Linked DNA regions of Coturnix japonica. The protein of the gene in region 2 purifies or fractionates together with the protein of the main gene of each other region. This does not show direct contact. Links are inferred from orthologs where the notes say so. Each region holds a gene or a part of one and is shown on either strand. Other genes may lie near its edges.

Region 1 (2,595 bases), on a different chromosome or scaffold from region 2:
CCGTGTTTGGGGCACAAGTGCTGCAGGTTGTTTTCTTGCTCCAAAGAGCAGAGAAGAGCAAAGGGCAGAGCTGAGTGCAGAGATCACTTTATGATAGCCTATGCTGAAAGAGAGAAACCCAGATCTCCCTTGGCTTGCTCTCTCTTCTGCCCACTCCAGGTGATATTACATTACCAGGCTGAGCTGGTGTAGTGTGAGGAGGCCTGGGAAGGGCTGTTGGTGTCTCCTGCAGTGCTTCAGGAGACATAAGCAGAACCAGGCTTATGTAGTGAGCTCTGAGCTGGTGTGGCTTCCTTGTGCCGCAGTCCCAGATCTGGAGGTGGATTCTGTCATCTGGATGCTCTGAGCTGAGACCCAATTACAGCTCCAGTGTGGGAAGAGCTCTGTGTTGGAGTTGCTCCCTCCTGTGCTGTGGTTCCCATCTTGCTGTTATTGGCTGTAAACCCTGAGTATACAGTTTAAGTGCTAACACAGAATTGCTCTTAAATTGGTTTGAGTACTAACTGTGCTCACAACTAAACGTAGCTATCATTTGTTACTAATTTTGCTCTTGGTTTGGGAGAAGGAAGACTTTTTAAAGTTTCTCTATGTATTAATAGCTGTATTCACTTTTGAAGGCCTATAGAGGCTGCATCTGCTTTAGTAAACACTGGTTTAGTGCTAACTAGCAAGTCTGACATTCCAGAGTGTGCAAAGAGCCACCTCAGAGGAGCTGAAAAGACAGGTTTGTAGCTGTGTGAACAGAGAGCAAGCAGAGTTGCTGGTTTATATTGCACGTTGTACAAAGTGGCCACTGGGACTGGCTGCTGGAGTTGTTCTCTGCTTATGTTCTAGTGTGCTGCAGTGAGAAAGGTGTTGCTACAGCAGCTGCTGAGCTGTGCCTATGGATTAGCATTCTCCTGAGCTAAGAGATCCTGTGCTAACGCTTGCTAGAATGCATTCACGTGTCAGGGATGGAGGGCAGGCTCTTAAGAACGTGTAGTGAGGCCGCCTTATAAGCAGAGGACAAACCCAGCCCTGTGCTGCTGTGCAGGGGTTCATGGTTGGGGCTGTGTTTGTATTTGGAGTTAGCAAAATGGGTGGGACGCTGGCCAGCCGAAACAGATGGGAGTGCAAGGACTGCTTGATATCCTTCAGAAAGCTGTTATCTGGGGCTGGCTCTGGCTTCTGGGTAGGAGCGTGAGGTTGATATGCTTCACACGCACACAGAAATAACAAATACATTGTGATTTTTTTCCTTTTTACATCATAAGTTTTGCATGAACTCGTTTGGCAATACCTTACTCTCTGAGCTGTTGAGAGGAAGATCCAAAATGTGTGCTTTTTTTTTGTTTTTCCATCATATCTTTCTATTTCTGTGGTCATCGGGTAGTTGTGACACTTCTTTTCCTTATTGCAGCTTGTAGAGACCTCATTAAAAGGAGAAATAGTCTTTGACCCCAGAAGTGCTTATTACCTTTGGTTTGTAATGGATTTCTGTGATGGAGGAGATATGAATGAGTATCTGTTGTCTCGAAAACCTAACCGCAAGACCAACACCAGTTTCATGCTTCAGCTCAGCAGTGCGCTGGCTTTCCTGCACAAAAATCAGATTATCCATCGTGATCTCAAACCTGACAATATTCTGATATCGCAGAGCAGGATGGATGCCAGTGACTTGGAGCCCACATTGAAAGTAGCTGACTTTGGGCTGAGTAAGGTATGTTCAGCTTCAGGCCAGAATCCTGAGGAACCAGTCAACGTAAATAAGTGTTTTCTATCGACTGCCTGTGGGACTGACTTCTATATGGCCCCCGAAGTCTGGGAAGGACACTACACTGCCAAAGCAGACATTTTTGCACTGGGGATCATAATCTGGGCAATGCTAGAAAGAATCACATTCGTAGACACAGAGACAAAGAAAGAACTCCTGGGTAGTTACGTCAAACAGGGGACAGCCATTGTGCCCGTTGGAGAGGCACTGCTAGAAAACCCTAAGATGGAACTGCTCATCCCCGTAAAGAAAAAATCCATGAATGCACAGATGAAACAGTTGATTAAGGAAATGCTGGCTGCCAACCCGCAGGACCGTCCTGATGCTTTTGAACTAGAGCTGCGATTAGTCAACATAGCTTTTAAAGACAGCAGCTGGGACACATGACCTGCAGAGTGGTGGTCTCTTGGAAGGAGCTGCTCCTTGCCCAGCTGATGGTGCAACTTAATGGCAGTAAAGAAACGAGGCCGATCTCAGACCCGCAGGGTGTAGTTTCTATTGATGGAATTTTGTTTGAGTTCCGCTCGTTCTAAGAATGTGAGTTGGCAGTTGTGTTAGCGATGCGTTGTGTTTTGTTTCCAGGATGTTATGTGTTAAGTCTTAAGATGTGACAATGTTCATTTGTGTACGTTGGCAGTGGGACATCCTAGGAGCTGAGGTTTGATTTCCGGCCATATCTCAGAGTATTTAATACATTCCAGTTTCCTATATCAGTATTAGGAACTCTCCTGGAAGAAGAGATTTGCATGCTGGTAGTGCAGATCTTCAGGTTTGTAAAGTAATTGTCTATGTATTTATGCATATGGGTGACTGAGAGCGTATGCTTGCAAGCGTGTTGCATT
Region 2 (3,651 bases):
GCGCTTCACTCGTGGAGGAGCCCGGAGGCGGCAGTACTCGGCTCGCATCGAACCTGCCAGGTGACCAACCTAATTCTGCTGTAAGGACTCGCATGCACGGTATAGTCTGAGGTATTCCTTGTCCATCGGCTGTTTGTGCCACTGCAAGATACTGTCTGTCGGAGTACGCGCCATCACAATGGTTTAACAAATTCTGAATATTAGGAATTCATATCTTCTTCTTATCTAGCCAGTCTCTTGATTTTTGAAAAGATTCCAACTACAGTAGAATATTACAGAAACAAAAAATAAATGCAGGGCTTTTCTTTCTAAATGAAACTTACATGGATTAAAACTAGAGAGTATTTTTAAACAAATATACAGTATGCAGGCAGACGAAGCAGGAAAACGGCCATTCGACTGTATAATAAAAAACTAAGAAAATTCGGCTATTCCCAGAAAAACTATGAAGCGCCTCAACTAAAAGGAATGCATAATGAAATTCTAATCTAATACAGGTCAAAGGGTGTAAAAAGGTTATAAACCTTAACAGGAAAAATAAAAACAACTTTTACTGGCCATTCCTGTTGAAATGAGAATCTCCAAAGTAACAGAAAAGTGGCTACAAACCCACTTAGAGCACCGAACAGAGAGAAAAGAAGAGTCTTTTTTTTTTCAATCTCTGTTATATCATAAAATCCTGTGTTTCTACAGGTCAAACTGCTGGTGGCAGAAACAGAACTCTTTATAAACTGCAGATGTCCTGTACATAAAAAAAACTCATCGGAGTCGCACTAGTTCTAAAGACTTTTCTGTTCTAGCCTACCTACCGCGTTGTACTGTATTGTACTGTTTGTATTCAATCTCAGATATAGAAAGTCTCTTTCTGTAACCCTTGATTATTGTTGGGCACCAAAGATAAGAAAAGCAAGACGGGGTACAAAAATGCAAAATTTCAACAGTAATGGCAATGTTTTGTTTCAGTCCAAAAGGGTCCTGCATTTTCTCCCCCTCCAGTAATCAGACCGAAGGCTTAATCTGGGGGTAGCAAGTCATGCAAGCGAAATCTGTCTCTGATGTGAGGTCGGACATCTTCATTCTGCAGGGAAAACACACGTGTGGGCGTTAGAAGAATGAGCACCTCCACAGATCGGATCATAGCAGGGCCAAACCTCCAACGTCTGTGTATTAATATAACAAAATGGAAGCCGTGGATGTCGCTAATAACAAGAGGCTGACAAGAACAGATACATAACATACACAACCATTTAGGAATAGAATTATTTCCATTTTAAGAACAAAGACAACGACGGGCAGTATTTAACCTACACTTCTATAAATTCTCTATTTCATTACAACTTATGTCACCATTTTCCAGTTTCTGATTGAAAGCACAGTTGGAAATGACGCCATTCTGCCTCCTGCTATGTGAGTGCATCCCCACACAAACTGGAGTAACACTCTCCTTCCCGCAGTCACAATCTCAGCCACTCAGGATCTTAAAGTATGTGGTGCTGTTTGACAGAGCAAACCAACACATTGGGCTGGGAGTTGTGAGAACAACAAGCGAAAGAGAGACAGACTTACCAGCTCTACAAGTTTCTCCAGAAATGGAATCAATTTTAGGAGTTCATTGTCATTCTTATCCATGAACCAGCTTTCGATAGGAATTCCATTTGAAAGCTAAAGTTTAAAAAAAAAAATAAAAAAATCATCAATATGTTACTTCTATTTTATTTACCTAAAAATGTGGCTTGTGAAATAGCATTTTGGGGAGAAAAGTTTCCAAGCTCAAGTTTATTAATACGTATTTTTCCTCTACAGTTTGTACTAAAAATCACTTCTGCAACGAGTCTGTCCTTTGCATAAACCATCACAATTCTTTCATCCAAAACCATCACAATTGCATCAACAATCACAATTCAAAGCTGAACTGGATAACTTTGGGCTGTAGGACTCCTGTTGCACTGAGAAGCGTTGGCACATTGATCAGGTTTTAGGTTCAAACTACACAGATACCGACTGAGCACTGGCTGCACTTTGTGCAAACGGGCTTCTGGTGTTTAGGCTCCCACTGCTTCCACATCCAAAAGCTTTGCTGATGGCAGCTTGCTTACCTGATAGGCAAAGGCTTGCGGTGAATTGTCAATGATGATCGTTTTTGAAAGATCTCTTCCAAGAATGTTTAAATCCTTTATGTAGTTTCCTTGCACACAGACACAATGCTCACGGAAAAGTCGATGCCTGTGATTAGATCAGAATACTCATTAATGAGAGAAACTGCACCACCTATATGGCACAGGGAAAAAGAAAAGTCAGTGCTGCCAAATGTTGTCCACTTTTTTCCCTTCTGACCAGATTCCTAAAAACTGTCTCACATTTTGAGTGTTTCCCTCTAAGATGAGCGGCTAACCTGACTTTACGTTATTTAGCTCTCCAGGGAATTGTTTTGTATCTAAACAGAAAAGTTCAGCTCAGGCACAACAAACATCTGTCACCGTGGTCTGACTTTCTAACCCTTTCTGCAGATGAAATGACAGAGGGGCCCAAGATACTGGAAGGATTTTGCAAGGCTCAAACCACAGGGATGAGTTCTGCACTCCAAACAATTCACAAGGTTTGTCCTTTCTGTTCTGCTCCAAACACTGCAGCACACGCTGGGAAGTGCTGGACGGAACGTTCTCCTGCTGAGGTTACCTCTGCTGGCAATTAACCTATTTTCAGTTTTTAGAGCTTGAAAAAAGCCTCGAGGCCAAAACATTCCATCAACTTCTTCCTTTCCAATTAGTATATTCTCTTTTATTACTAATTAATTAGTAAATGGATTGGTAGAATAGAAGAACTCATTAAGAGGAGCAGGAATAAAACAAATGTCATGAAAGATCAGTATAATCGTAATTACCAATCAGCTGTGCACTGGATAGATTTCAGATTTGACAATGTAATATTACCCCACTGCAGTTTCTTTAAGGCTGCTTATATATTTCAGCAGAATTTTTAGAAGCTGCACACAGTGTGCTTACTACTTTCATGAAGGGAATGAGTTCCTAATGTTGCTAAGGAAGAAAATAAGCTGATGCCTCAGCAGCGAATGAATGTATATATAGATTCTGAGTCACACGTGTGGAGTGCCTGACAAATCCACAGTTAGGCTCGTGTCAGAACTCATCGTGCCCTGATGTCAGCTTCTCTGAGGCACATGACTCACAGCTACATTCACACACCACACAAATTTCAGAGAATCTCTGAACCTTCTTAGCATACAGCCTGCCTGCCTGCCTTGTTACCTCTGCTGTTCACAGCACAGATAAAACTGCAGTCCTCAGTCCTAAGTATCAGAGCCTTGGAGGGAAAACCATCACGTTACGGATGCACATGGACTCATTTTCTGTAAGCACCGACCCTGTACTTGTTGGTACATCCTGTCTGGCTGGTCAGATATCCCAGCAATATGACATCCCAGCACTGACTCTCAGTCCTAACTACAGCCAAGTGCAGTTCTTCATGCCCCTCATTAGAATACCCTATTTAGAATGAATCCCTGAGAAACCCCCTCTCCACTTTCAGCTTTCCCATGTAGCAGACTGCCTTGCAGATGAGGGTAACAGAAATTCATCCATTAGGATTTGTCACGTTTTAAGGGCTGCTCCTGAGAAACATTAATCTCTTCCA
Region 3 (4,287 bases), on a different chromosome or scaffold from region 2:
GGCTCAGCGCCGCGCTGCCTTTTTGCATCCTGCCCCAAATGAGACGTGGCATAATCAATTAAACACGATGGAGACGATGGCTGAGCACTGTAGCTACGACCTGCATAGCCTGCTATCCCGACAGTTATGCTCCTGATGCAGAAAGAGCCTCAGATTAATCCCCCCCCCTCACCCTGAGCCGGGCGCCTTGGCACAGCATCTGTGCAGCCTGTAAATAGCCACGCTGCAGTCGTGCAGAATGGCACGGCTGCCCGGCCACGTGCCCACTGCAGCCTCAGCCAGGAGAGCTGCGGGCAGGAAGGGAATATATGCAGCTCAGGGGCTCTCCTGGCTCTGCTGCTAACAATATTTATCAGTACGGTATCAAAGCCAAAGGTGGGGAAGGTGGTGAGCACAGCTTCTGTCCCTGCCTGGGGCCAGCAGATAACACAGCTCAGAGGGCAGGCACAGGGAGGGAGAAGATGAAGAGGGATCAGGACAGGCAAAGCTCTCCCAGCAGCAGGGAGGTGACTGTGCAAGGAACAGAAGGCACCTGCCTGCAGATGGGTGGGGAGCACCGACAGCTCCCCCAGAAGCCTTCTCTGAGGGATGCTGCCTGTCAGCATGGGGAGCAAGAGACCCCAAGCACAGGGAGCTCTCTGTGTGGAGGGCAGGCAGCCACCCCACAGGGCTGCACAGAGAATAGGATAGAGCCCTTCTTGGATGACTTGGATGCATGCATGAGGAGCAAAAAGAAGCCAGGTTCAGGGCCATGTGAGGACATACAGAGATCCAGACATGATCCCAAGGGTGTGGGAGCTGTGGATCTGCTCAGAGGGCAGCTCTGCAGCCTTCCACAATGTCCACAGCAGGGGACACCAAGCCAAGGGGCACAGGCAGCTGGAGAGACACTGGGGACACCCAGGAGATGGGGCTCCAGTATTTTTCCACTTCTTCACTGCATGTTGGCAGAGCTGGGCCTGACAGCAGCCAAAGGAGCAGAGGGAGGGAGCACTTTGGAGATGTCACCATCACAATCATTGGTGGTGGCAGGAGGTGACCCCAGCAGCCGCGTGATGCTGCCGAGGGGACCCAAGGGAAGGTGGCAGCCATCCCTATAGGGCAGAGTGGTGGAGAAATAGGGATGGGAGAGTACAGAGAACAGCCCCAAAACTGTCAGAGCCCACGGGAACACAGAGGGTGCCATGGAAGTGGGGTCACAGCCTCAGGGTGCTCAGAGATGGGGCTGAGAAGGGGAAGGACTGAGGGCAAGCACCGGGCTGTGGCACTGGGCAGAGCAGCAGAAATGGGGGTGCGATGGAGGCACAGGGGGACGTGCCTGAGCATGGAGGTGATAATGCACAAGGTTGGAGGGCTGCAGAGGGGAAAAGCAGAAGGAGGGGGGTGGGAAAACACAGCACAGTGCGGGCAATGCTGGGCTGAGTGGGGTAAAAAGTGCTAAAATAAAAGAGATAAAGGAGAGTTAAGCAAGATGGGGGCAGCCTGGGGAAAGGAGGAGGGAGGGGAGGAGGGCTCCTTGAGGGCAGAGGATGCCAAGGAGGAATTTAAGCAATGTGGGGGGAGAGAGGAAAAAAGGGGCACAATGGGAGCACCCATGTGGGGATCTCCAGAGCTGGAAGGCCAAGGGAGAGCACCCAGCAGCTCATAGAAGCTGGGGTAGGAAGGAGCTCTTAAGATAAGGGTTATAGGGACAGATCTGGAGATGGGAACCCCATGGCAGGAGGGGCCGGAGGCACAACGGGAGCACCCATATGGGGATCTCCAGAGCTGGAAGGCCAAGGGAGGGCACCCAGGAGCTGGGGTAGGAAGGAGCCCTTAAGATAAGGGATACAGGGACGGACCCGGGGATGGGAACCCCACGGCAGGAGGGGCCGGGGGTTGTTGTGTGCCGGTACCTTTGAGGGAGGTCTCCACCAGCCGCAGGTAGAGCTGGCTGCGCTTGTTGCCGTGGCTCATGCGCTGCCCCAGGCCGTGCCGCTGCAGCACACACTCCTCGAACCGCACCACGTTGGGGTGCTGCCTCCTCAGGCTGGTCAGCGCCCAGAACTCGGCCAGCGCCAGCTCCACGTTCTCGGGGGCGTCGCAACGGATCCTCTTCACCGCCAACCGAGCTCCGCTGCGGCTCGACACCGCCTCGTACACCACACCATAGGCCCCGCGGCCTATCTCTGCCAACAGCCGGTACCGAGGGACCCCCGCACCGCTACAGCCCGACCCCGGGCCCACCACCACCGCCGCAGCCTCCTCCTCCTCTTCCTCCGCCATGGGGCCGCGCCGCCTCCTCGCCGCCCTTTGTGTCCGTTTGCGGCCTCCGTCCGCCGTCTCCATAGCAGCGCGGTGGGGGCAGCCCCGCTCCCAGCCCCCCCCCGTCCGCCGGTCCCCGCGTGGAGCCGGGCCGGGCAGCGCCGAGCGGGACGGGGGGAGCGGCACCGAGCGACACAGGGCGGAAAAGCGCGCCCTGCCGGCCCCTTTAAGCGCTCGGCCAATCGCGGGGCGTCGGATCGTACCATCAACATTACGGGGGGGGATGGAGTGACGGAGACGGGACGTGAGCATCGTACCGAGAGGGAACGGAGGAGGAGAACCGGGGATGGAGGGGTGATAAGGGTGGTGAGGCCGCTAGTGCTGCCCGCCGGGCTGCTCGGTGCGGGGGGGATGAGAGCAGTGAGGGCACGGCCGGCCGCTCCCCCTGCGGAATGGTGTGCGCCGAGCGGCTGTAAACACTGCGGCCGTGGGGAGCGCAACGCCCGGTGCGGCCGGTGGGGTTTGTGTTGTTATGTAACGGGGGGCGGCACAGCCCCGCCTGGTCCGCAGGTAACGGAGCTCCGAGTTCTGGAACGTGGGCAGGGATGGTGACACCACCCCCATCATCCACCCCTCGGGTTGTCGGTGTCCAACACCGCTCATCCCGAGGGGGGCTTCATCCTAATGTCCGACCCCTGCCCCCCTGTAAGGCCGTGGGGAGCAGGGGCCGCCCACCCCACACCCCGTTATCCCCACACCCCGTTATCCCCCCATTACAGAACACAGTGGGGATGGGCGCACCCTGCGGTGTCTCTACGGGCTGCAATGACCCAACATGGGCAGCTCAACGCGTGTTTCCAGCTCCATTCCAAATCGAAGCCCCCTCCCCTCCCTGCATCATGCGGGGCTGCCCTCCGTCCGTCCCTGCTGCTCTCATCGCCCCTATTCCCCTCCCTGTATCCTCCCCCATCCCCGTATCCCTCCTTGCATCATGCGGGGCCGGCTCCAGCCCCGTGCCGCTGACGCTGTGTGCCGCTGTGCCGCTGCCTCCCACCCGCTGTAACACGCACTTTTCGTCCCCCCCCCCCCTTTTCCTCTCCGAACTGATGCACTTAAAGCAAAACTTAACTTTTCTATTACCGCACATTTCTCTTAGCCAGGTGTTTAATTACCATTGTCCCAGGGAAATGTCAGCGTGACTCACAGGCAGGTTCCCATTAGGAAGAGACGGATGAATATTAATTAACGCTCGCAGGTGGGTGGGTTCGGTGGCAGCGCCTTTCCCAAAAGGGCCGTGTCACCCCCACACCCACCCGGACCGCAGGGAGCTGAATGCGGCCGGATCTGCGCACATAGAAAACAATGGGGGCTGCGGTGCCTTGGGGATGGGAGAACCCGGATCTCTTCCTGCAGCAAGAGAGGTGGAGGCACCTGCTCCATCCCGTGCTCTTGGGGTTAGCTCAGCCACCAGGAGCCCCACTGCCTATGGAGCAATCACATGGGGATGGGGATGCTCCAGATGTGTGCTGGGAGCTGGTGCTGCTGCCAGCAGGGCTGCTTTTGGGATGCTCCACACCATGATCCCTGGGCATGATCACCTGGAGACGGGGCTCCCAGGGCAGCTACAGCAGGATGGGAACTAACAGTGCACCAGCAGGAGGTTGGGTTTGGGGGACGTGCAGGGTGAGACAGGAACTGCTTCTACTTTCAGCATGAGAACCCTCTGTGGAACCCCGTGGTGTTCAGTAGTGAGGGTGAAACCTCCTGGGGCTGCCCGCATAGCACTGAGGATGCCACTGTGGTTTGTGGCTGCTTTTTGTTCTCGGCTTTGTTCTGCACCTACAAACCTTCAGCTGGGGGTGAAAACACAGCTAACACAGCTGTCCTCTGCCTGTGCCTCCATGGGGACTGAGCATCCCCATCCCTGCAGCACTGCCACCTCCCAGCACAGCTTCTGCAGGTGACATCCCCTCCATCAGCCCTGGGAGATGCTCGGCCCTTGCTTCACCTCTCCATGCCCTGCTCCTTTAGTGCCTGAGTGAG

What was found.
Region 1: the proteins of CTDSPL2 (region 2) and PDIK1L purify together in Homo sapiens (affinity purification with mass spectrometry; 4 studies listed by BioGRID and IntAct, counting the BioPlex papers as one, with this or other methods). This does not show direct contact. The link is inferred for Coturnix japonica from reciprocal best matches to the Homo sapiens genes CTDSPL2 and PDIK1L.
Region 3: the proteins of CTDSPL2 (region 2) and STK35 purify together in Homo sapiens (affinity purification with mass spectrometry; 3 studies listed by BioGRID and IntAct, counting the BioPlex papers as one, with this or other methods). This does not show direct contact. The link is inferred for Coturnix japonica from reciprocal best matches to the Homo sapiens genes CTDSPL2 and STK35.

The regions. Positions count from the first base shown.
Region 1 is NC_029538.1:2,855,367-2,857,961, reverse strand, and holds part of PDIK1L (serine/threonine-protein kinase PDIK1L), read left to right. Parts: intron 1-1,399; coding exon 1,400-2,140; 3' UTR 2,141-2,595.
Region 2 is NC_029525.1:17,942,644-17,946,294, forward strand, and holds part of CTDSPL2 (CTD small phosphatase-like protein 2), read right to left. Parts: intron 2,224-3,651; coding exon 2,097-2,223; intron 1,663-2,096; coding exon 1,567-1,662; intron 1,079-1,566; coding exon 1,013-1,078; 3' UTR 1-1,012. UniProt on the Homo sapiens protein: Probable phosphatase.
Region 3 is NC_029535.1:9,249,410-9,253,696, reverse strand, and holds the start of STK35 (serine/threonine-protein kinase 35), read right to left. Parts: upstream 2,940-4,287; 5' UTR 2,557-2,939; coding exon 1,896-2,556; intron 1-1,895.